Stegostoma tigrinum: one gene and its partners. The protein of the gene in region 2 interacts with the protein of the main gene of each other region in a pairwise test. Links are inferred from orthologs where the notes say so. Each region holds a gene or a part of one and is shown on either strand. Other genes may lie near its edges.

The links. The genes of interacting proteins can lie anywhere in the genome.
Region 1: the proteins of traf2 and NCK-interacting protein kinase (region 2) and srgap3 interact in a two-hybrid assay, tested with the Homo sapiens proteins (2 studies listed by BioGRID and IntAct). The link is inferred for Stegostoma tigrinum from reciprocal best matches to the Homo sapiens genes TNIK and SRGAP3.
Region 3: the proteins of traf2 and NCK-interacting protein kinase (region 2) and agtpbp1 interact in a two-hybrid assay, tested with the Homo sapiens proteins (2 studies listed by BioGRID and IntAct). The link is inferred for Stegostoma tigrinum from reciprocal best matches to the Homo sapiens genes TNIK and AGTPBP1.

Annotation. Positions count from the first base shown.
Region 1 is NC_081364.1:61,303,115-61,311,077, reverse strand, and holds the start of srgap3 (SLIT-ROBO Rho GTPase-activating protein 3), read right to left. Parts: upstream 3,023-7,963; 5' UTR 2,347-3,022; coding exon 2,280-2,346; intron 1-2,279. UniProt on the Homo sapiens protein: GTPase-activating protein for RAC1 and perhaps Cdc42, but not for RhoA small GTPase. May attenuate RAC1 signaling in neurons.
Region 2 is NC_081367.1:57,294,988-57,302,393, reverse strand, and holds the start of traf2 and NCK-interacting protein kinase, read left to right. Parts: upstream 1-4,290; 5' UTR 4,291-4,733; coding exon 4,734-4,790; intron 4,791-7,406. UniProt on the Homo sapiens protein: Serine/threonine kinase that acts as an essential activator of the Wnt signaling pathway. Recruited to promoters of Wnt target genes and required to activate their expression. May act by phosphorylating TCF4/TCF7L2.
Region 3 is NC_081356.1:58,904,035-58,910,977, reverse strand, and holds the start of agtpbp1 (cytosolic carboxypeptidase 1), read right to left. Parts: upstream 3,023-6,943; 5' UTR 2,830-3,022; intron 1-2,829. Other genes in the region: naa35 (N-alpha-acetyltransferase 35, NatC auxiliary subunit), read left to right, coding at 5,673-5,796. UniProt on the Homo sapiens protein: Metallocarboxypeptidase that mediates protein deglutamylation of tubulin and non-tubulin target proteins.

The DNA of each region.
Region 1 (7,963 bases), on a different chromosome or scaffold from region 2:
TCCTTCACTGAGAGTTAACCAATTGCATCAGGAGGGTGAATGAGGTTTTTAAGACTTGCCTCAGTGTTGCCTGCTCAGTAGACAGAGGCTTTTGCTGAAAAGGCAGAAAGCAAGGACCCTCTTGTGGCCTGGTGGTACTGTCCCGACCCAGGAATGGGAGGCCCAAGTTCAAGCCCCCACCTGCTCCAGAGGTGATCAATAACATCTCCAAAACAGTATGATTGGAAAAATGTTTTTTTAAAAACAAACTGCAGACTCAGGGCCCTCTTATGGCGCTGAGGCAGTGTCTCTATCCCTGGGCCAGGAAGCCCAGGTTCAAGTCCCAACTGCTCCAGAGGTGCACAATAGGTTGATTAGAAAAAAAAGGTAAAATTGAAACAACAGTCTCAGGTACACGATAACAAGGTGTAGAGCTGGATGAATTAAGCAGGCCAAGCAGCATCAGAGGAGTAGGAAAGCTGATGTTTCGGGCCTATGGGCAGGATTGGGGCTCGAGTGTGGTCGTCATCAGCCCTGGCAGTAACAACCAGGGTCCCCATGTGAAGGCAGCTGACTTGGATGGTTCGGGTAGCAACAGCAGAACCCCATCTAGCATCAGTAAGGAGAGGGGTAGATAACAAGCATGGTTTTTTTATAAAGAAGAAACGAGCACATTAACCCAGAGGAAATGCAGAACCAGAATGGTGCAGTGTCACAAGCCACTCACACCCCAAACAGTTCCAAAAGTCTCAACAACAATCCACCTGGACAAGTCTCTGCCAGGACCAAAACTGCACAGTGTGGGTCAGAAAACTAACAGCAGCCCCGGTCATTGTGGGCTGTTCCAGCCAACACTTAGTTCTGTGTCTGACATTGGCCCAGAGCCCCTCCATCCCTGGAAAGTCAGTGAGCTCCAGCAGCAGGAGAGGGGCTGGTGGGGTGAAGAATGAGAGAGTAGGGAGACAGCAATCCCTCCTTTTTCCCCTCTCAGGGTCCTGTTCTCTCTTCCATACCAACTGGCATTGCAAACACCAGCTCCTGTCACATCTCACCCAACCCACCCCCCACCAAACCAGCTTCCCCCAGCAGCAACATTCACCTTATTCAGAGCACAAACACACAGACAGCATTACATCGGCTGAGTTAAAACCTTCACTGCAGAGATCAGAAGACAGAAGCCATTCCAGTTACTCTGACACATCGCTCACTCAGAGCTGGCAGTAAAACCCCTGTTAATGGAGTTTAAAATACACCACTGTTTGGAAGAGATTGAGTAGATAGTGATACACACCTTTTAAACCTACTTCAATACATCATTTTTACCAGTACTTTTATTTAAAAAGGGGACAAGCACAATAGGGCTGATTGAGGCAGATACAAGGGGTTGGTGGACCATACGGGCTATACTAATCCAGGGGCATAATTATTTCCCCTGCTCTACCTCACCGACCCCCAACACACCGAGCAAAACAGAAAGGTGGGGAGATGAAAGGAAATAAACCACGTGAAATCTCCAGCGATATCTAACACAGAGCCAACCCTAAAGCGTGAAGGGGACCCAGAGAATTCGATCAATGCTTGGATTTGGGAGCCTCTGTCAGTCTCCCTGTACCCGGGGAACGGGGGGGGGGGGGGGCGCAATAACACTGATTAAAGCGGGGGGGGGGGCAAGATACTTTTATCCTTCTCCCCCCCCCCACACCCTCAGCCCTTAATAACTCAACCTATTATGTTTAATATACAAGTTTGATTTATAAAGGGGGGGCGCGGATCTCACAGTGATTTTGGGAAGCAAGAGACCCCCCCCCTTTGGTTGAAACAGCTACTTTATTAATAATAAAGTAAAAGGCGGGGTGGGGGGGGGGGGTACGGCTGCAACACACGGGAAACAGAAGTTGGGGGGGGGGGAAGAAGAGAGAGAAAGCAGAGAGCACTATTAACGCGTCCTAGCTCTGAGCAAGGGACGCGGGTGTGATCGTCAGCACAATCTGCCGCCTAACCGAGAAGCTTGCTTAGCTACTGCTTCCAGCTTTCCAACACACTGCAATGCAGTTCTGAAACTGTACCCTCCCCTCCCCTCCCCTCCCCCCTCCCCACCTTCCCTTTTACACAACAACAAAAAAATAACGTAACTCCAACTGTCCCAGCAGCTCCAGAATCCCATTTAACCTGGAGGTAGCCTATTTCCATGTGCGTTTGTGCAATACCCCAGATTAATACACCGGGGTCGGGGAGGGGTCCCAAAACATTGCACGGCGTAGAACAAAACAGAAAAACCACACATACAGTCGGGAACCTACCTTTGACCTGGGTCTCATATTCCGTGGTGATCTCTTTGTCCTTTTTGAATTTTGCTTGAGATGACATCCTGTCCGCCGGCCCCAGTTCGCAGCACCAGCTCCTCTCGTCAGTCCCGGGGGTTGTTCAACTCTTTCCCCTCACTCACTCGATTACAGCTTCAGGAGCTGTGTGTGTGATAGAGAGAGAGAGATCTGGGAATCTCCCCAAGTCACACTCTGTGTCAGGTTCACGCTTTGAAATCGCTTGAAAATAAAATAACCCTCCTCCTCCTCCCCCTACTGGCCTGTTTTTTTTGGGGGGTGGGGTGGAAATAGAGACCAGAGATAGGTGCAAACGCTGCTCCTTTTCCTGAATCGCTCAGCTTATTTACTCAGTTCCATTGTGAGGGGTTCTCTTTGAAAACCGATACAGAGAAGGGGAGAGGATATAGTTGTAAAGGCGAAGGTTCCAGCTCAGAAAATGCAGGCAGCGACTCCGAGTCTGTGGTGTGCTGCTGGGGTAGTGAAAGGAAAGACTGGGTAGGCGGGGAGGGGGGGGATGGGATGGGATGGGATGGGAGGGGGTGAGGTGAAACTGTGGTGGGATAGGCAGCCTGAACTGGGAGCACTTCCTCACTGGCTCGCCCTGTGTCCGGCTCCCCTGCAATTTCTCATCCTGCTTCAGCCTCCCAAATCTTGCAAGCTGCAGCTCAAATCTGGAGCAGAGGAGCGAACTGCATTTGAGGGAAGGTGGGTGAGAGGGAGAGTGGAAAAAAATGTCTGAATCTTGACTGCAGGAACAGTCACGTCAAGTGCTCCTCCCACCCCCTCCGATGCACATCAGAGGGAGGGGACATATCGTATCCTACAGGACACTCTCCGAATTGCATGGGGTTCGTGTATCCTTATATCGCAAGTGGTTCGCACCATCCCCACCCAAGAGCTGCCCCCAACTTTGCTCTTTTTTTTCAGTGCAGCAGTCCTGACCATCTTTCCTGTTTCCTGCTGGGCCTTCTTAGTCTTTGCCTTTTTTTTTGATTCGGCTGTGTGCCGACTCCGCTCAAAACTTAAGCCCTGCGCTTACCTGCTGTGAAACCCGGGCGCAGCAACTTTGGGGCTGTGTTCACTGGGACACACTGAGGCTGTTGGCCGGGGTAGGATGGGCAGCCTCCCGCACACTGTCTAACAATCGGCAGCACACGCAGTGGTGGAGTGAGATTTGCTGTGATATAAATAATAACAAATCAAACTATTTCCATTGTATAACGCAGGATTGCCCTCTTACTCCCCGCGCCTTCATAAATCCCTTGCCTTCTCAATCAGCTGTTCATGGTCCTGAGGCCTCCCTTCTGAGCTGCCTCTCTATTTCCCTCCCCACATGCTTTACCTCCTCACTTCTTTACCTCCCTTTCCTACCCACCCATCCCTTTTTTCCTGGCCCACCTGCTATCCAGTTTAATTAATTTCAAGGGACATGGACATCACTGGTTGGGCCAGGATTTACTGCCCGTCCCTAGTTCCTCCTTGAGAAGGTGGCGGTGAGTTGCCTTCTTGAACCGCTGCAGTCTGTGAGCTGTAAGTAGACCACGAAGTCCTTAGGGAGGGAATTCCAGGAATTTGACCCAGTGACAGTGAAGGAATGGCGATATATTTCCAAAGCAGGATGGTGAGTGGCTTGGAGGGGAACTTGAAGGTGGTGTGTTCCCATGTGCCTGCTTCCTTTGTCCTTCTAGATGGCAGAGGTCATGGTTTGGAAGGTGCTGCCTGAGGATCTTTAGTGAATTTCTGCAGTGCATCTTTTAGACGGTACACACTGCTGCTACTGAGTGTTGGTGGAGGAGGGAGTGGATGCTTGTGGATGTGGTGCCAATCAAGCAGGCTGCTTTGACCTGGATGGTGTTAAGCTTCTTGAGTGTTGTTGGGGCTGCACCCATCCAGGTGAGTGGGGAGTATTCCATCACACTCTGAACTGTGCCTTGTAGATGGTGGGACAGGCTTTGAGGAGTCAGGAGGTGAGTTACTCCATGCAGCATTCTTAGCCTCTGACCTGCTCCTATATATTGATATGGCTGATCCAGTTGACTTTCTGGTCAATGGTGCCCTCCTGGATGTTGATAGTGGGAGATTCCGTGATGATAATAGCAATTAATAACAAGGAATGGTCATTAGAGTCTTTGCTGCAGTTGGTCATTGCCTGGCATTTGTGTGGTGCTAATGTTACATTTCATTTGTCAACCCAAACCTGAACACCTCTTCTTCCCTTAATCCCCCATTGTACTGTCTTCAACACCTATACCTGGTATAGCTCCTTGCCCCTTTATCTCTCATTTTACAATCTGCTCTACCTCCTTGCCACGTCATGTGCTGTATTTGTATGGAGCTAGCTGGGCAGTGAAGCAGCTGGAGGTGTTATTGCCCAGGTTAGTGCCCATGCCAGGGATAAGAAGATGACAACTGGAATGCCAACAATCTTCTTGAAGTTATGCACAGTGGTTAATTTTCCCCAAGGCACCTCCTCTTTTATATTAACATTGTGGCAAAAGAGAGTGTTGTCCCACTCCTGATTTTCTTCAGTATTATTTCTGGGCATTGGCTAAATGTTGAAACAGGTTGGGCCTGTATTCATTGGAGTTTCACAGAATGAAAGGTGATCCTGTTGAAACATATAAGATGCTGAGGTGGACTTCACAGGGTAGATACTGAAAAGATATCACCCCTTGAGGGAGAAATTAGAACAAAAGGCACAGTTCAAAATCATGGAGTCCCCATTTTGAGATGGAGATGATTTTTTTTCTTTCTCAGGAGGTTGTGAATCTGTCAAACTCTCTTTCCCGGAGAAAATGGAGGGTGGCTTATTGAATATTTTCAAGGCTGCTTGATGGACCCCTGACTAACCCAGATGTCATTGCTGAGTCTGAAATGTAAGCTTGGTCAACCATGCTCCTTTCAAATGGTACAGGATGTCCAAGGAGTCAAGGGGTCCTAGCCCTGTCCTAATGTGTACCTTGGTCCTTATTCCAGCCTGTTTACCTGTCCTTTTCTATTAATCTGGTTGCCCAATCCATTTTCGCCAATGGCCATCCTACCTCCTCCTACCAACCTTCCATATTGCTTTGAAAGCTTCCCTTGTGCCCTCCTGATCCCTGCCAGTGTCCCTACTGCAATATCATTCTTCCCCGTGCCCTCTTCCCATTGTCCCATGGTGACTGAATATCCCGTCCTCTGCCCTTTGGATTGGTATATTTCCTGACTATAATTTACAGGTAAGTACATCACATCGATCATATCTGATGCTGTTTCTGTTCATGTTTGTCTGGAATTTTCCAATCCGTATCTAATTGGTCCTCATTGATTTGTGAGATGTACTGTGTCTCATGTTTATTCTCCGCAGCTTTCAACACGTATGTGTGGAATTCCCCCCCCCCCCCCGCCGTTAGTGTGGGGGCGATAATTGCTGCAAACTGTTGTGTAGGGCATTCACTGAAGTCTTGAGGAACGTTACTAATTTTTGTGGCAAGAATTTGATTAGTTACTGAGTTCAGACCAATTTAATTAATTGGAAGCCTAAATTCAGTTCCTTCAAATTACTAATTAAGTGACTCATGAGTGGAATTGTTGTGTGAGATATGTCTTATCAAACCTTGCCATCTGTAAATGCCTCTTTGAAATCAGATGGATGAGACATTCCATCATGAAAACCTTAATTGTTCCAAACAGTGGATAGTTGTCGAATAGTTATTTGGGTTCAAAGATGACTGCTACAAAAGTCATGGAGTCATACAGCACAGAAACAGACCCTTCAGTCCAAACAGAGATAATAGGATCTGCAGATGCTGGAGAATCCAAGATACCAAAATGTGGGGCTGGGTGAACACAGCCCAGCTCAGCTTGTCCCTGCCTGCCTAACCTGTTCTTCCTCTCACCTATCCCCTCCTCCCACCTCAAGCTGCACCTCCATTTCCTACCTACTAAACTCATCCCGCCCCCTTGAACTGTCCGTCCTCCCCAAACTGACCTATCCCCTCCCTACCTCCCCACCCATACTCTCCTCTGCACCTATCTTCTCCTCTATCTATCTTCAGTCTGCCTCCCACTCTCTCCCTATTTATTTCAGAAACCTCTCCCCATCCCCTTTTCTGATGAAGGGTCTAGGCCCGAAACGTCAGCTTTTGTGCTCCTAAGATGCTGCTTGGCCTGCTGTGTTCACCCAGCCCTACACTTTGTTACCTTCAGTCCAACCAGTCCATGCCCACCATAATCCCAAACTAAACTAGCCCCACATGCCTGTGCTTGGCCCATATCCCTCCAAACATGTCCCATTCATACACTTCTCTTAATACCTTTTAAACATTGTAAATGTATCTGCATCCACCACTTCCTCTGGAAAATCATTCCACACATGAACCATCCTCTGTGTAAAAAGCAAAACCTCTCGTGTTGTTTTTAAATCTTTCTCCTCTCGCCTTATAAACATGCCCCCTAGACTTGAAATCCCCCAGCCTAGGGAAAAGACACCTGCCACTCACCTTATCAATACCCCTCATGATTTTATAAACCTCTATAAAGTCAGGGGCAGCACAGTGGCTCAGTGGTTAGCACTGCTGCCTCACAGCGCCAGGGACCCGGGTTCGATTCCTGCCTCGGGCGACTGTGTGGAGTTTGCACATTCTCCCCGTGTCTGCATGGGTTTCCTCCGGGTGCTCCGGTTTCCTCCCACAGTCCAAAGATGTGCCGGTTAGGTGGATTAGCCATGCTAAATTGCTGTAGTGTTCAGGGGTGTGTGTGTTATAGGGGAATGGGTCTTGGTGGGATGCTTCAAGGGGCGGTGTGGACTTGTTGGGCCGAAGGGCCTGTTTCCACACTGCAGGGAATCTAATCTAATCTTTAAAAAAACGCTCTCAACCTCCTGTGTGCCAGTGAAACAAGTCCCAGCCTCTCTTTAAAATCCAAGCACCACCCCCCCCACCTTGATTCCGGCAACATCCTGGTAAATCTCTTCAGAACCCTCTCTGGCATAATCCTTCATACAACAGGGAGACCAGAACTAGACACAATATTCTCGAAGAGGCCTTACCTGTATAATCTCAGCATAACGCCCCAATAAGTCCGGTGTGTAATCTGTAGATTCCGCAAAGTGCTGGAGGGCTGGGTTGTTGGGTTGTTTGGACATTTGTTCACACTTTTCATCCCTTGACTTTTGCCTCTCTGTTTTCCTGACCAAGTCTCTTGATGTGTTTGGTGCCTGCCAACTTAGGCCTTCTCCAGTTGGTCATCACAAGCGGGGATTCACGCAAGTCATTCGCTAGGTATGTCTGACACTTTCAAGGGTGCTTTGAGGACATCTCTGACGAATTTCCACTGTCTTCCTCATAGTGTCCTGCTGAGACTGGGTTCCAGGTAGAGGAGTTGCTTCAGGAACCTGGAGTCGGGTTATGAATGATGTGTCCCACCCATGAAACTTGAATTTGAGTAATTAAAGCCTTGATACTGGGAAAATTGATATGGTAGGGAGATCCTACGGTTGGACTACCGTTCCTGCTGCTGAAGTTCTTGCTAAAATCTTGCAAAGGCATCAGTGGTGACATTTCTCCAGTCTCTTGATGTACCTAATGTGAGTTGTTCAAATCTGCAAAGCATCTGGTCTCACCGTTAAAGGAAAGATGTTGTTAAACTTGAAAGGGTTCATCAAAGATTTACAAGGATGT
Region 2 (7,406 bases):
TACCCTTGGTTATTACCATCCCTTTATCACAAGCACTGAATATTTCTTTCTGGATATGCTGTCTCACATTGTGGTTAGTGTTATGAGGCCTACAGACCACTTGCATAAATGACGTTTCTCCCCCTAACATTCTTCATTTCTATCCAAACTGATTCTGCATTTTGATCTCCTGAATGGAGGCCATCTCTTACAAGTACACAAATGTCATCTTTGATTGACTTCCATATTTCCCACGCCTGCTATTCACCTTGAATAAACTGGAGAGGCCTTCAAAATGGGATAATGAGAGTTCAGAGTCTGTATGTTCCTGTTAGTATGAAGGGCAAGGCTGGTATGTGCAGGCAAGATAACAAAGTGTGGAACTGGATGAACACAGCAGGCCAAGCAGTATCTCAGGAGCACAAAAGCTGACGTTTCGGGCCTAGACCCTTCATCAGAGATGGGGATGTGGAGAGGATTGTGAAATAAATTGGGAGAGAGGGGGAGGCGGACTGAAGATGGTTAGAGGAGAAGATAGGTGGAGAGGAGTGTATAGGTGGGGAGGGGATAGGTCAGTTTGGGGAGGACGGACAGGTCAAGGAGGGGGGGATGAAGTTAGTAGGTTGGAAATGGAGGTGCGGCTTGAGGTGGGAGGAGGGGATGGGTGTGAGGAAAAACAGGTTAGGGAGGTGGGGACGAGCTGGGCAGGTTTTGTGATGCAGTGGGGGAAGGGGAGATTTTGAAGCTTGTGAAGTCCACATTGATACCATTGGGCTGCAGGGTTCCCAAGCGGAATGTGAGTTGCTGTTCCTGCAACCTTCGGGTGGCATCATTGTGGCACTGCAGGAGGCCCAGGATAGACATGTCATCAATTCTGTTTGACTAGGCAATTTGAAGCTCCGGTCAAGAAAAAAGAGGCATGTTTAGATATAAGGTGGGATAAAACAAATCCCTAGTGGAGTATAAAGGCAGTAGGAGCATACTCAAGAGGGAAACCAGTGGGGCAAAAAGGGACATGAGATGGTTTTAGCAAGAAGAGTTGAGGAGAATCCAAAGATATTCTACAAATGCATTAAGGGCAAAAGAGTAACCAGGGAGACAATAGGGCCCCTTGAAGATCAACAAGACCATCTATGTGTGGAACCACAGGAGATGGGTGAGATACTAAAAGAGTATTTTGCATCAGGTTTTACTTTGGAGAAGATTATCAAACCTAGAGAACTTGCAGAAATATACAGTGATATCTTGAAAGGCGTCCATATTACAGAAGAGGAGGTGCTGGACATCGTAAAGCTCATAAAGATGGATAAAGTGCTTGGACATGATCATGTGCTTCCCAGAACCTCGTGGGAAGTATTGGAAGTGATTGCTGCGCCTTTGCCTAAGCTATTTGCATCACTGATAGCCACTGGTGAGGTGCTGAAAGACTGGAGGTTGGCTAACATAGCACCACTATTTAAGAAAGGTGGCAAAGAAATGCCATACAACTATAGATCAGTGAGCCTGACATCAGTGGTGGGTAAGTTGTTGGAAGAGATTGTGAGGGACAGGATTTACATGTATTTGGAAAGGCAAGGACTGATTAGGGATAGTCAAAATGACTTTGTGTGTGAGATGTCATGTCTCATTAACTAGGTTGAGCTTTTTTTTGAAGAAGCGACAAAGAAGATTGATGAAGGCAGAGCAGTGGATGTTGGCTATATGGAATTGAGAAAGGTGTTCAACAGGTCCTGCATGGCTGGCTGGTTAGTATGTTAAGATCACATGGAATCTGGGGGTGCTAGGCATTTGGATATAAAATTGGCTTGAAGGTAGAAGACAGAGAGAGGAGGACTGGAGGTCTGTGACCAATGGTGTGATATAAGGATCAGTGCTGGGTCACTAATTTTTGTTGTTTTTATAAATGATTTAGATGTAAATGTAGGAGGTATGGTCAGTAGGTTTGCAGATGATGCCAATATTGGTGGTGTAGTGGGTAGTGAAGAAGGTTATCTCAGAGTATGGGACCTTGACCAGATGGGGGGAGGAGTGGCAGATGGAATTAAATTTAGATGTGTGAGGTGTTGCATTTTGGTCAGGCAAATCAGAGCAGGACTTATACAGTTAATGGTAGGGTCCTGGACAGGGTTGCCGAACAAAGAGACCTTAGGTGCAGGCTCATAGTTCTTTGAAAGTGGAGTAACAGGTGGCCAGAGTAGTGAAGAAGGCGTTTGGTACACTTGCCCTTATTAGTCAGTGTATTGAGTTGGGATGTCATGTTGCAGCTGCACATGAAATTTGTTAGGAATACTACGTTCAATTCTTGTCTCCCTGCTACAGGAAAGATGTTGTTAAACTTGAAAGGGTTCAGAAAAGATTTTCAAAGCTGTTGTCAGGGTTAGAAGATTTCAGCTACAGGGAGAAGCTAAACAGACTGGGGCTATCTTCCCTACAGCGCAGGAAGCTGAACGGAGATTTTTTGGAGATTTATAAAATCATGAGGAGTCTGGATCAGCTGAATTGCTAAGGTCTTTTTCCTTGAGTGGGGTAGTCCAAAATTAGAGGGCATGGGTTTAAGGTGAGAGAGGAAAGATTTAAAAGGGACTTAGGCATTTACAGAGGCAAGTTCCAATGTAAATGCAGGCAAACAAATTTCTAACGGTACTGTATAAGAAAAGGATTGAATATGATTGACTATTGATGTTACACACTACAGGTTTATATTGCATCTGATCCAAAACTTCATATGACTATATACATGTTAATTAAAACATGCAACAATGTTTGCATTTTTAGTTTGGTTGAACATCCTAACATGCTTCACAAGAATGCCAAGGATTTCCTAAAATGCAAAAGCTTGATCAAAGATTAGGTTTTAAGGGGAAAATAAGTCCAGGAGAGAATTGCAGAGATTACAGCTTTTTAATAATTCATTCAAGGGATGAGGGTGTGGCAGGCTAGGCTGGCATTTATTGCCCATCTCAGAGGGCAGTTAAGGGCCAACCACATTGCTGTCATAATCATCAATCAACTCCTAATTCCAGAACTACTTTTTGTTGAATTCAAATTACATCCTCTACCAGGCAGGACTTGAACTTAGGTCCCCTGACCATTACCCGAGTCTCTGATTGACAGACCCCTAATAATACCACTAGTCCACTGTCTGCCCTATCCTGGGCACCTGAAAGCACAGCTGTCAATGGTAGAGCATAATCTACGGGGTTGTACAGAAAGCCAGGATTGGAGGAGGGCAGAGATAATTGTAATTAAGGATATTACTGGAATATGTTGGGTTGAGGCAATGGACAGATTTACCACAAGAATAAGCATTTGTAATTGAGATATTGCTAATGTAAATCAAGGCAATATAATTGTGAGCATTGTTACTTGGTGTGAATTAGATGTGGGCAGCTAAGTTATAGGTTTACTCTAACTTTTTTTTATCTTCTTAAACATCTCACATAATTCTTTCACAGGATGTGAGTGTCGTTGTCTGGATCAGCATTCATTACACATTTGAGAAGGTGGTATTGAGCCACATTCTGGCAGTCCATTTGGTGCGATGACAGCTAGAATGCAGTTGGGAAACAAGTTACAAGGTTTTGACCCTACCACTCTTAAGGAACAAGGAAATTGTTCCAATTCAGGATGAAGTATGCAACTTGCAGATGCCTAAGCTATTGAGGACACAGGGTTACATCTCATCATGATAACTAGTGAAAGTTAAATGTAATTTAAAAACACTGAACATAACACTAGACTCAGTAATGATACCACGGCAATGTTCATTGATTGTCATAAAATCCCATCTGGCTTATTAAAGTACTTTAGGGAAGGAAATCTGCCATCCTCACCAGATCTGCCCCACATGTAACTCCAGACTCATACCAATGTGGCTGACTCCTAACTGCTTCTTGGAACGGTCTGACCACTCATTTGTATCAAAACGCAAAGGCCGTGGTCTGAACATAGGAATCGGGAGCATAGCCGTCCCTCAGGCCACCCCAATTCCAATTCTGCCATTGAATAAGATTATGGCTCACCGCATTCTCAGCTTCACGTTTCCTGTCTGCCACTGATAACCTCACACGCCGCTCAAGCGCCGAAGGGAATTGCAAACCTGCTCGTGCAACCTACTCCCAGAATTTAACCCTCCCCTCGGCGACAGATGGGTGAAGTGTTTCAGGAACATGACATTTCAAGTGATAGTAGTGGTGGTTTGTGGTTGGGGTAGGGGTGTTGCACAAGATCCTCAGTACAGATTCTTTTAAGGAAGGAGGCTGCCATGCTTTCGTTACTGTGTCTTGCCTGCTTGTCCTCTCTCAGCGACAACGTGCTCTTGAAGATTGTTTGCAGTTGCTTGAAAGCGAAGCAGTTTCTCGCTGGTGAAGGATACGCGTGTTGCTGTTTGTCTCCTCCCCGGATGCTGTGATTGACAGATTCTGCAGAGCCCTGCTATGTGTGTGTGTGTGTGTGTGTGTGCTATATATTGTGTGGGCGCTTTGCAGAGAGCAGTTGTTCTGAACAGGACCCTTCACAGAATAGGACTGCAGTAATTTAACTCCCTGTCTCCTGTGGTGTAACCAGAAATTAGGACAAATTAAAACCGAACCCCCCCGCCGTTATTCTTTTCACATGTAAAAGACCTGTCTTATTGATTGTGTGTCATTGAGCGGAAGGATATGTTTTAAATCGTTACAAAAGCAGTGACGAGAGAGAGTGGGAGAGAGACAAGACTAAGCTCCGGGCTGTGTCAGTTTTCGGGTGAAATTAACATGGCGAGCGACTCTCCAGCGCGAAGCTTGGATGAAATCGACCTCTCGGCTCTGAGGGTGAGTAACCCAGATCAGAGCTCTCCTCGTGCCAGATTTTGCTTTCTTCCGGGAGATACATTGTTCCCTCTGTAGCACTGTCACAATCTCCAACACACCAATGTAGCAGTTGTGTGTCACAAAGATGTGCGATGTTACAATCTACATTTCCTGTCCTGTCTCAAAATTGTAGCAAATTGGCAGGAAGGATAAATAACACGTCTAAACCGAGTTGCTTGTGTTTATGTGTAACGTGTTAAGCTCATCATTCCATTAAGCTCACTGTACGCCAATGTCACAATGAATGGGGTGAAATGGAACCTGTTTAGATTTTTTTCATTCATCGACTACACCTCCTCCCCCCCCCACCCCCCGCGCCGTCCAACACCACCCTCCCTCATTCCCGCAGTGAATTGTTTCAATTTGAAGGCATTTGTTACCTTGTGTGTTTGTGGGCGCTCCCAAACCGAGACGATGTTTCATAACATGCGTTTGTAAAGCCTCCGGTTGGAGAGCTTCCTTCAATTTTCTCTGCAGAAAGTGAATTGTTGCTTATTTTCAAGCATTTCGCGAAATTGAGATTGCTGGTCAGAGACCAGGTACGGGGCAGCCTCAGCTTTTATAATAACATAGAGAGGAAAATAAAATACAACTGGATAAAGGAAGAGAAGCTTGGGCCAGGGGTATCGTGCTGTTTCATTCAGCCTACACAAAATGTGTTTGCTGTTAGGGAGGTGGTGGTCAAAGGGTCCTGAAGGGAAAGCTAGCGGATGAGAGATTCCACCTCTGTCTGGATCCCATGCACAAGACCCTGAATGGTTTAATGGCTACGGCAATAGGAGCTGTCATCAGCGACAGGCGTTCACTAACATAATGCTTCGAAGGGAAGGAATCGTTTGGATACCAAACAAAAAAATCACTACTGTTTGTGAGCCTAAAATAGCCTGTCGAAACTTGGGACATTTCAGTTTTGGCCATCTGGTCAGAAGAAGAGAGAGATTCGTGAACATTTTAAACGATCTGTAATGACCCTGATTATTGTGCATGGTAGCCCTGCATAGCGGTGTCTGGTTGAGAAAGACACGAGAAAAGACCGGGAAGAGATGGAGAGGGAGACTGCAAGGAAGGGAATGGGGTAGTTGGTGTTGGAGGGGGGGGGCGGTTAGAATTAGGATGGGGAAGAGTGTGGGAAGGGGAACTTGAGTGGGGAGGGAGCTGATCGTTGTGGAATTTGATAATGGTGATATTTCCATTGTTTAGTGTGCATGATTATCATAAACATCTGTTGTGGAGCCACTTCGGAGTGTAGTGTAGGGGCTTTGTTCCGAGGCACTGAAGGAGCTTTCTGGCTAATTATCTCTTGATTTGCTATAGCATGTCTGAACAATTCTGCTTTTGGCATTTTCAAAGATATTGTCGTGTCAGGGCGCATGTTGGTGGGGGAGGGGGGGGAAGAAATCGAGATTTCAGGTTCAGTGCCCTCTCTCCCAGTTTCTGTTTGTGTGGTTTATTGAGGCAAGTGAGAAAGCCAGTGCAAAAGAAGCACAGGTTAACCCAACAAAGCGCTACTTCCCTCCATTCACTACCAGTTTGGCAAACTGACAGCAGGAATTTGTGAAGTCTTTCAGCAGAGCTGTCACTCTCTGCCAAAAGGAGAGATCTTTGTTTTCATCTCTCTCCACCGTCTCGCCGCTCTGAAAGCTCAGTACAACCCTCCGAGATCGCTGCTGCCTTCCAATATTTGCCCCCTGAGGATTTTAATCTCACCATTAAGGAAACTTCTGTTTACAGCCTGAACTCTTAAGTTCTGGAATCCACTCCTGAAAGGGGGACTGGGAGACGAGAGCTGTAAGCCAATCATTAAGGCCAATGTCTTCGACCAAGCTTTAGGCCGTATGTCCCAACATCTCCCTATGCAGCTGAGTGCCACAATCTATTTAATGACAAGCACCGTGGAACATTTAAATACATGAAAGGTGCTATGTAAATGCACAAAGTTGTTGCCATCCCCCACCCGAGGGTTAGTATTTTGAGTTTAGCGGCTCAGGTATTCCGAATTGAGTTGGGTGGGGGAAATGGGCGTGTGTAAATGTGACTGGAACCACTTCCTCATATGGGGACGGAGGGAGCAATTGTCAACACCGCCAGGTCGGGCTGAACGGCCTCTGTCTGTGTCGTTGGTTGTGTTGTAGCGGTGTTAGGTGAAAACAGACTGCCCACACGTGAGTAAAGTAGGTTGGATAGCATTGGGGTGAGGCTGACTGTGGGGCCGGCCCGCGCTGATTTCCACAGCTTGCGAGTGTGATTGAAAGAAGCCAGTCGTCACTGAATGCTATCCGAGGTCTGATGTTGGCCCCTCTGGCTTGGAATGTGAATATTACATGGTCACTATCTTACATGGTTGGAGCTGCTGAGTTTGGTTCCAGCTTGTCTTGAGCGCATGAAAATGGAGCGGGAATCTCGATCTGTTTTGTCTGGGAGCGAGTTCGTGCCTGCCCTTCCAAATCAGTAAGGTGTTTTGCGTGGAAATTACAGCAAAAATTGACAAGATCTCCCCCTAAAACAATCAACGGCCTGTGGCTCTGAAACCAGCAGGGGCCCTGTTTTTCATCAGGTTATGTCCTCAGGTATACGGGA
Region 3 (6,943 bases), on a different chromosome or scaffold from region 2:
CATGGACTGGGTTCAAAGCACTGCCCTACTCCTGTGCATCTTTTTTCATATCTGGTAAACATGAAAAGCACACTACAGAAATACTGTGATGCTTTAAAGGTCTGAGAGTCATTGAAAGATAAACATTTCTATCATGGACTCTGAAAGCTGTGTTTGAACTTCACTTTGAAATTCCACATACAGCACTTAGATACAACATCTTTATCACTCGGTCATCACAGCTGGGTAAAAGCACCCAGAACTATATTACTACCAACAGCCATATTCCGTAGAGTGTTGGTGTAATGTCACAATCTTTTTCACCCCAATTCTCACTGTGGCAGAATGTGTAGTGTTTCAGTTTGTGAAGATTCCAGCCTGTATGATATCATGGAACTTTCAGAAAGAAGCTAAATTTGAGTAGGTTATTATTATGAATGTAGTTGTGAGGGTTACCAGACCTTTAAGAGAGCTGGTCAGGTGACCCAGAGGAACAAATATTGAGTACAGTCCTGAACTGGTTGTAGAGGTGTGAGCATCATCAACAAAGTGTTCCTATTCAGATTTACCACTCATTTACCATGTGTATAATCCCTAATTCCAAAGGAAGCACCAATATAACAGATATTCAATAAGCCTTTAAAGGCTCAGAGTGAAAGGCTTCAGGAGGTTGAAAAAATGTTATATGGAGTGATCGGTGTAATTCCTTGCACTTTTCTTCATCAGACTTGTCACCTTATAAAGGCCATGACACCAGTGACTCTTGATGGGCAGAAACTTCACCAAAACTCAGGAAGGAGCTCCACCAGGGGAGGTGACTGAAGAAACTTTGCAATGATACTCCCTGTGCAAGACAGTGACAAGTGTAGTTAGCTCACTGTGGCTTGTCTCCTTTCTTGAATACAGTTGTGATAAGTGATTCTCAGAATACTTGTTATGTGCTATTTTTCCCAAATGAAGGACACAAGATTATGCAGTCATGCCAAGCGTCTCAGAATTTCAGCAAGGATTCCATCTGCCCAAGGAATTTTCATGTTCATGTTCTTTAGCTGTTGGATGGTTTTCTTTAAAAAAAAGCCTTTCAGTTCTGAAAAAGAGTCATGCCAGACTCAAAATGTTAACTGTATTTTTCTCTCTTGACACACGCTGCCATACCTGGAGAGTTTCTTGAGCATTATCTATGTTTGTTTTAAATATGTCTTCTTAGCATTTTCACAATCAGTGGCTGTAAGTATTAATGCACATGTAAGTTTGTATCCTGTGTTCCTTCCAGGCATATTCTGGTAATCATTGCCCCATTTCTAAACTGCTTTATTATCTTGTTATTTCCCTCTAATTTAAGTGAGAGGAGATGAAATGAATTGGCGTGATCATGATAATTTGCAGGGATTCCAACATTATCCCAATTAAACTGATGGACACTGAGACAATGAAAGCCATCAAAATGACTGGGGCAATGTGACCATCCTAGCTTAAGCCAACCACAGACAAGCATGGGAATTCCTAGGGGCCTGGTTTTCAACTGGTAAGGCAATCAACAAACATATGGAATTAGACCCCATACAAAAACCCATGCAGAACAGAATCAGAAATCAGACAACCCAACTTCACAGTCCTGATCATATAAATAACAAGCAGAGTAGAACAATATCACTTTATCAGAGGCCACACTGATTACTTTACCTAGCATCGTGATGAAACATCTGTATAATAACTAGCCAGCTTGGCAAGCAAGCCAACAACTTCATCCACAACCCAGGCTACAGATCTTCACAAGAGGTTAATATTGTTCCTAAGGCAGATTTCAAGGTCCCTTATGTATGTATTAAATCCCGCAGCTGATCATATGCAATATTGACACAAGCTAACACATGCATGATAAACATAAATCCAATTCGACTGGCCTGCATGAGGTAGATTGTTGATCGTAGGGCAACGAAGGATTATGTGGATAAGGTAGAAAAAGTGGAGGTGATGGATGTTGGATCAACTCTGACCCTACTGAATGGCAGCTCAGGCTCAAAGGGCCGAATGGCCTGCTCCTACTTCTTATTTATGGTCTTACTAATTGGTGATCCTGTCCTCAGAATTTAAAACAGCATTCTGGAGACCCTCCTCCCCAGATTGCACAAATATTAAAGTAAAACACAAGTATAAAAGCAATTTATCCACAGAATAAATTTAGGGTAATTCTCTGATTGATCCCATCAAAAATAGGAATGGGGATACAAAAGGCAAGAAACTAAGAACAAAAAAAAGACTGAGATAACAAAGTGTCGAACTGTATGAACACAGCAGGCCACGCAGCATCAGAGGAGCAGCAAAGTTGACGTTTCGGGTCTGAACTCTTCTTCAAAAAAAAAGACTATTCTTTTCTAATGGCTGAAATAGTTGTAAAATAATGGCACAACAAGGCTGACCAATTTTACTATCTACAACAATGTAAAACAAACTTAATTCTGTTCTACCTGATGCTGCCAGACCTGCAGGTCTTCATCAGCACTTTACTTTCGTCACTTCCCACAAGGTGGGTATTCCTTAACTGCGAATATGCGCTGGGTCTCGTATGAGCGCCCATGAGAATTTAGAATTTAATATAAGAACAAAAGCGCAAAGTGGCAGACAATCACAGGGCAATCGCACAGTGCCTACAAAAAAAATATTTTCTGCCGAGTTGCCAGCATCAATATGCAGCAGATGGAAACCATCGTTCGTGAAACTTTCAGCTGAATCAAATAAGAGTCCAGATCCATTGCACAAGGAGAACGGTGAGCAATCCCAATATCCTAACCCATTGAAATACTGATCAGCTCAGACAGCGACGCGGCTTGTTGTTGTGACCACACTTACTTTCATTGGCAGGGAATCCCTCAGGCTGTCAAAGGCACTTTACACATACAGTCTCTTTCTCTCATACTGATCTCGATGGATGAGTAATCTCCTGACAGACTCCAGAACGTCCAAGTAAAGGCTATGATAGCAATTAACACCATTAACCATTTACCTCCCCGGCTCTTCCGGTCCCCCCACCCCCACCCCCACCACCACAACCACGGCTGCCGGGGAGAATTCCGTTGCAGGAAATGGTCAAATTCACATTCCGCAGACTCGAGCTGGTCCTCGCGATAATTCGCTATTTGTGGCGCCGATGGGATTTGTAGTTCCAGGGAAATTTTCCAGACATGGCGTGGACGTTATTCCTGCCCAGGTCAGGACTACAGTTCCCAAAATGCGAAGCGCAGCGGCAGCCGAATGACGAACTTGAAGTATGGTTTCGGCTACCCAGGTCACGGTGATGTGCTGAAGGTAGCTTCACTCTCAAGGTAAGGAGAGAGGATGAAACGGTGCAATCTTCTGTAGGGAGAAGTAGTCATTCAGTTAGATATGCTTCATTCCGCGTACCTCCTCGAAAAATCATGTATGGAAATTTGAGCAACTGGTGACAATTTTCATCCACCTTCGACTTTACACGTATGGCCTCTGCAATGGATTAATAGTTGCATGAACGTGATTTAAAGAAAACCATAAAATATAGGAGCAAGATTGGGCCGTTCCGCCTAAGGAGTCGTCTTCGCCATTCTACTATGGTTGACATGTTTTTCAACCCCATTTTCCAGCCTTCCCCCTATAACCTTTGATCCCTTAACCAATCAAAAACCTATCTATTTCTGCCTAAACGCAGTCAAAAACAGCCTCCACAGCCTTCTGCGACAAGGAGGTCCACAGATTCACTATTTTCTGGCTAGAAATTTCACCATCCTCAGTTCAAACAATCATTTCTTCACTCAGAGGCTGTGCCCTTGGCTCCCGTTCTCTTCAATAGTCGAAACGTCTTCGTCATGGCCCCTCTTTCCAGGTTTGTCAGTAGCCTATAAGTTTTTCAATGAGATTCCGCCTCATTCGTCTAAATTCCATTCAGTAGAGACCCAGAGTCATAAACTGCTCCTCATAATGACAAGCCCTTCACCCCCAGGATCGTTCTTATAAACATCCTCTGATGTGGGAGGGGATCCAGCATATCCAACCTTTGATACAGGACTCAGAACTGCTTACAATATTCCAAATGCAGTCAGACCAGAGCCTGAGTGGTACATCTTGCTGTTGTATTCTAGTCCTCTTGAAATGAAAGCTAATATTTCATTGACCTTCCTAACCGCCAACTGAACCTGCATGTTAATTTTGAGAATCCTGATCTTTTACTGAAGCCGTTCCCTACTTAGAAAATAGACCACACCTCTATTCTTCCTACAAAAGTGCATAAACTCTCTTTCCCATATTCCATTCCATCTGCCACTTTGTTGTGCACTCACTTAGCCTGTCCAAGTCCTTTTGTAGTCTCCCTGCCTCCGTAACACTACTTGTACCCCCACCTATTTTTGTATCATCTGAAAACTGAGCAACAATGCCATCAGTTCCTCCTTCCAAATAATTGGAATGTATAACATGATTACTTATGGTTCCAACACTGATCCCTGTGGAGCTCCACTAGACGCTTGCTACCATCCTGAAAAAGACCTCTTTATCTCCATTCTCTGCTTCTGCCAATCACCCAATCTCTATCCAGGCCTCGAACACCACAAGCCCTTGTAGGTGAGTCTTCTGCACCGAAGGTAGGGGCTAATACCACTGCACCAAATGAGCCCCTCCATGGATGTTGTTATAAATGAATTTTCAGACCAAATTCGATAAGGTATCACCGTAATAGGTAGTTACTCATGATTAGAACACATGAGTTAATGGATAATGCATCAACATAGATTGGTTAACAGACAGAGATTAGTAAAAGCAAATCACTTTTAGAATGGCAATTTGTAACTGGTGAAATGTTTCCAAGTGTGAAGTGTTTAATATCTGTTGAATTATATTGCTTAAGAATGGGATAATTGACTCTTATCAGCCGGCTTGTTTTTTGAAGAGAATATCAATTGCTGAATGGTGAGAAGAGATGCCACTGCTGATCCTGATAGTATTGTTATGGTCTAAGACGCTGGAACAGGGAAGTGGTAACAGAATCTGGGGAAAAGAACATTTTAATTTGGTTTGTAGCATACTCCATTGGGCAAAGGAGAAAAGAGGGTCATCAATAATGATAAGCGAAAACTTTCACAAGTTCTATAATGGGGAGAAAGTGAGAAGCCATCTTCATCCAGAAGCAATGTGTGCCTGTAGAATTTTCATGAAATCTGATACATAGACATGGGAGGAAAGAAGTAAGAGGCCAAAGAGTTGCAAAATGTGGCCATTCCCCATTAATCTGTTTTGAGGCAGATGGAACTACTCGGGAGAAATTTTCATTCTTCCCATTGTGATGGTGGAGGATTGGGCAAGTTTGATTTCAGGTGTGTTGAATGAAGACCTCTCCTTCCCCCTAGCATAATGATTAGAGACAGTAATATTGAGAAACTGCGTCCTTCCAACACAGACCCAATCAGCCATGTCTTCCCAGCTTATCAATTCTGTATCTGCCTATCTATTGCTGTAATTAATAAAACAACAGTGCTTTCTCCGTGATAGTTGATACTGTCCTTGGAGGTCTCAGGAAAAGGTTGAAAATCTTTGTTATTACTGAGCCCTGTAGTGAAGACAAATCTTCGATTTGTGTAAAGGCTTCCAGTCAACAGGAAACAGAAAAATCTCCTCTGCTGAAGAATCTAACCCAATTTATCTTGTATGGTTTGATGTCCACAGTTATCATGGTCACTAAAGCATCTTTGGACGAAGACGATATTGGCTGGGGACTTGGTATCTCAGAAAAGATGGAAAAAATTAATGCAAACTGGGTTGACATTACCAAGCAATTCAAGGATTGCTGTAAAGGTAAATTTATAGATATTTTGTGCAATTTTCTTGTTGCTTATGAAGCTAGTGGAAGCATGGGTCCTTGAATATTTTTATGGCAGAGGTAGATAGATTCTTGTTAAGAAAAAGGGTGAAAGAATATCAGAAGTGGGTGGGAATGCAAATTTTGAGGTTGTGATCAGACCAGCCACAACCCTGTTGAATGACAGTGCAAGCTTGAGGGGCTGAATGGACTACATCTGCTCTTAATTCATATGTTTACTGAGAGTCTCCAAGCCACAACCCTGTTGAATGACAGTGCAGGCTTGAGGGGCTGAATGGACTACATCTGTTCTTAATTCATATGTTTACTGACAGTCTCCAAGAATCCATAAACGTAGAGTAAATATATTCTGTTTTTTTTTCCCCAACTACGGAACCTTTTCCAAATTTCTGCTTCTGTCCTTTTTAGCTCCCAAAATCTTTGTTTATTTTGGAGATCTTGGGAATGTGAGCATCACTAACATGGCACACATTAATAGTTTATTCCTAATTGACCTCCGTGATGGTGAACCACTGCAGTTCATAAATACACCCAATTGTTTTGGATTTTGACCAAACAACAGTTAAGAAATTGCAACAGTTCCATGTTAGAATGATTTGAGGTGTGGGGAGAAACTTGCTGCCCTTGTCTCTCAAGGTGATTGATAGTGGCTGTGTATCAGTTCAAGGATGATGCCTCCTTGGGGTTGTGGGTATCTCCCATGGCTTCAAGTGAATGATAGAACAGTTCACAATACACATGACTTTGGACACATGGGGCAGAAGATACCGGGAGATAGGGGGATCCAGAATGCAAGATTTGCTTCTGTTCTTTCCTTCACTGCAGCTGCTCTGTCTCCATCGATGATGTGTTTGCATCAAAGCATGATGAAGTTTGTTAGACAAGTTTTTCCATTTTAGATGATTGGCAGTAAACTCCTTCCAGTCATTAATATAAATGCCACAGCACTTGAAGGAGAGCTTCAGAGTGTCATTGAAGTGTTTCCTTTGTATTCTCCTGTAATGTTGGCCACTTGAAAGTCAGATCTGTATCTGAAGCACTGACCTTTAAGGCTATGGACTAGTTGTTTAAAAGTGAGCTTAAAATAAGAGCTTAGTTTATTCAGCAGGTGCAGACATGATG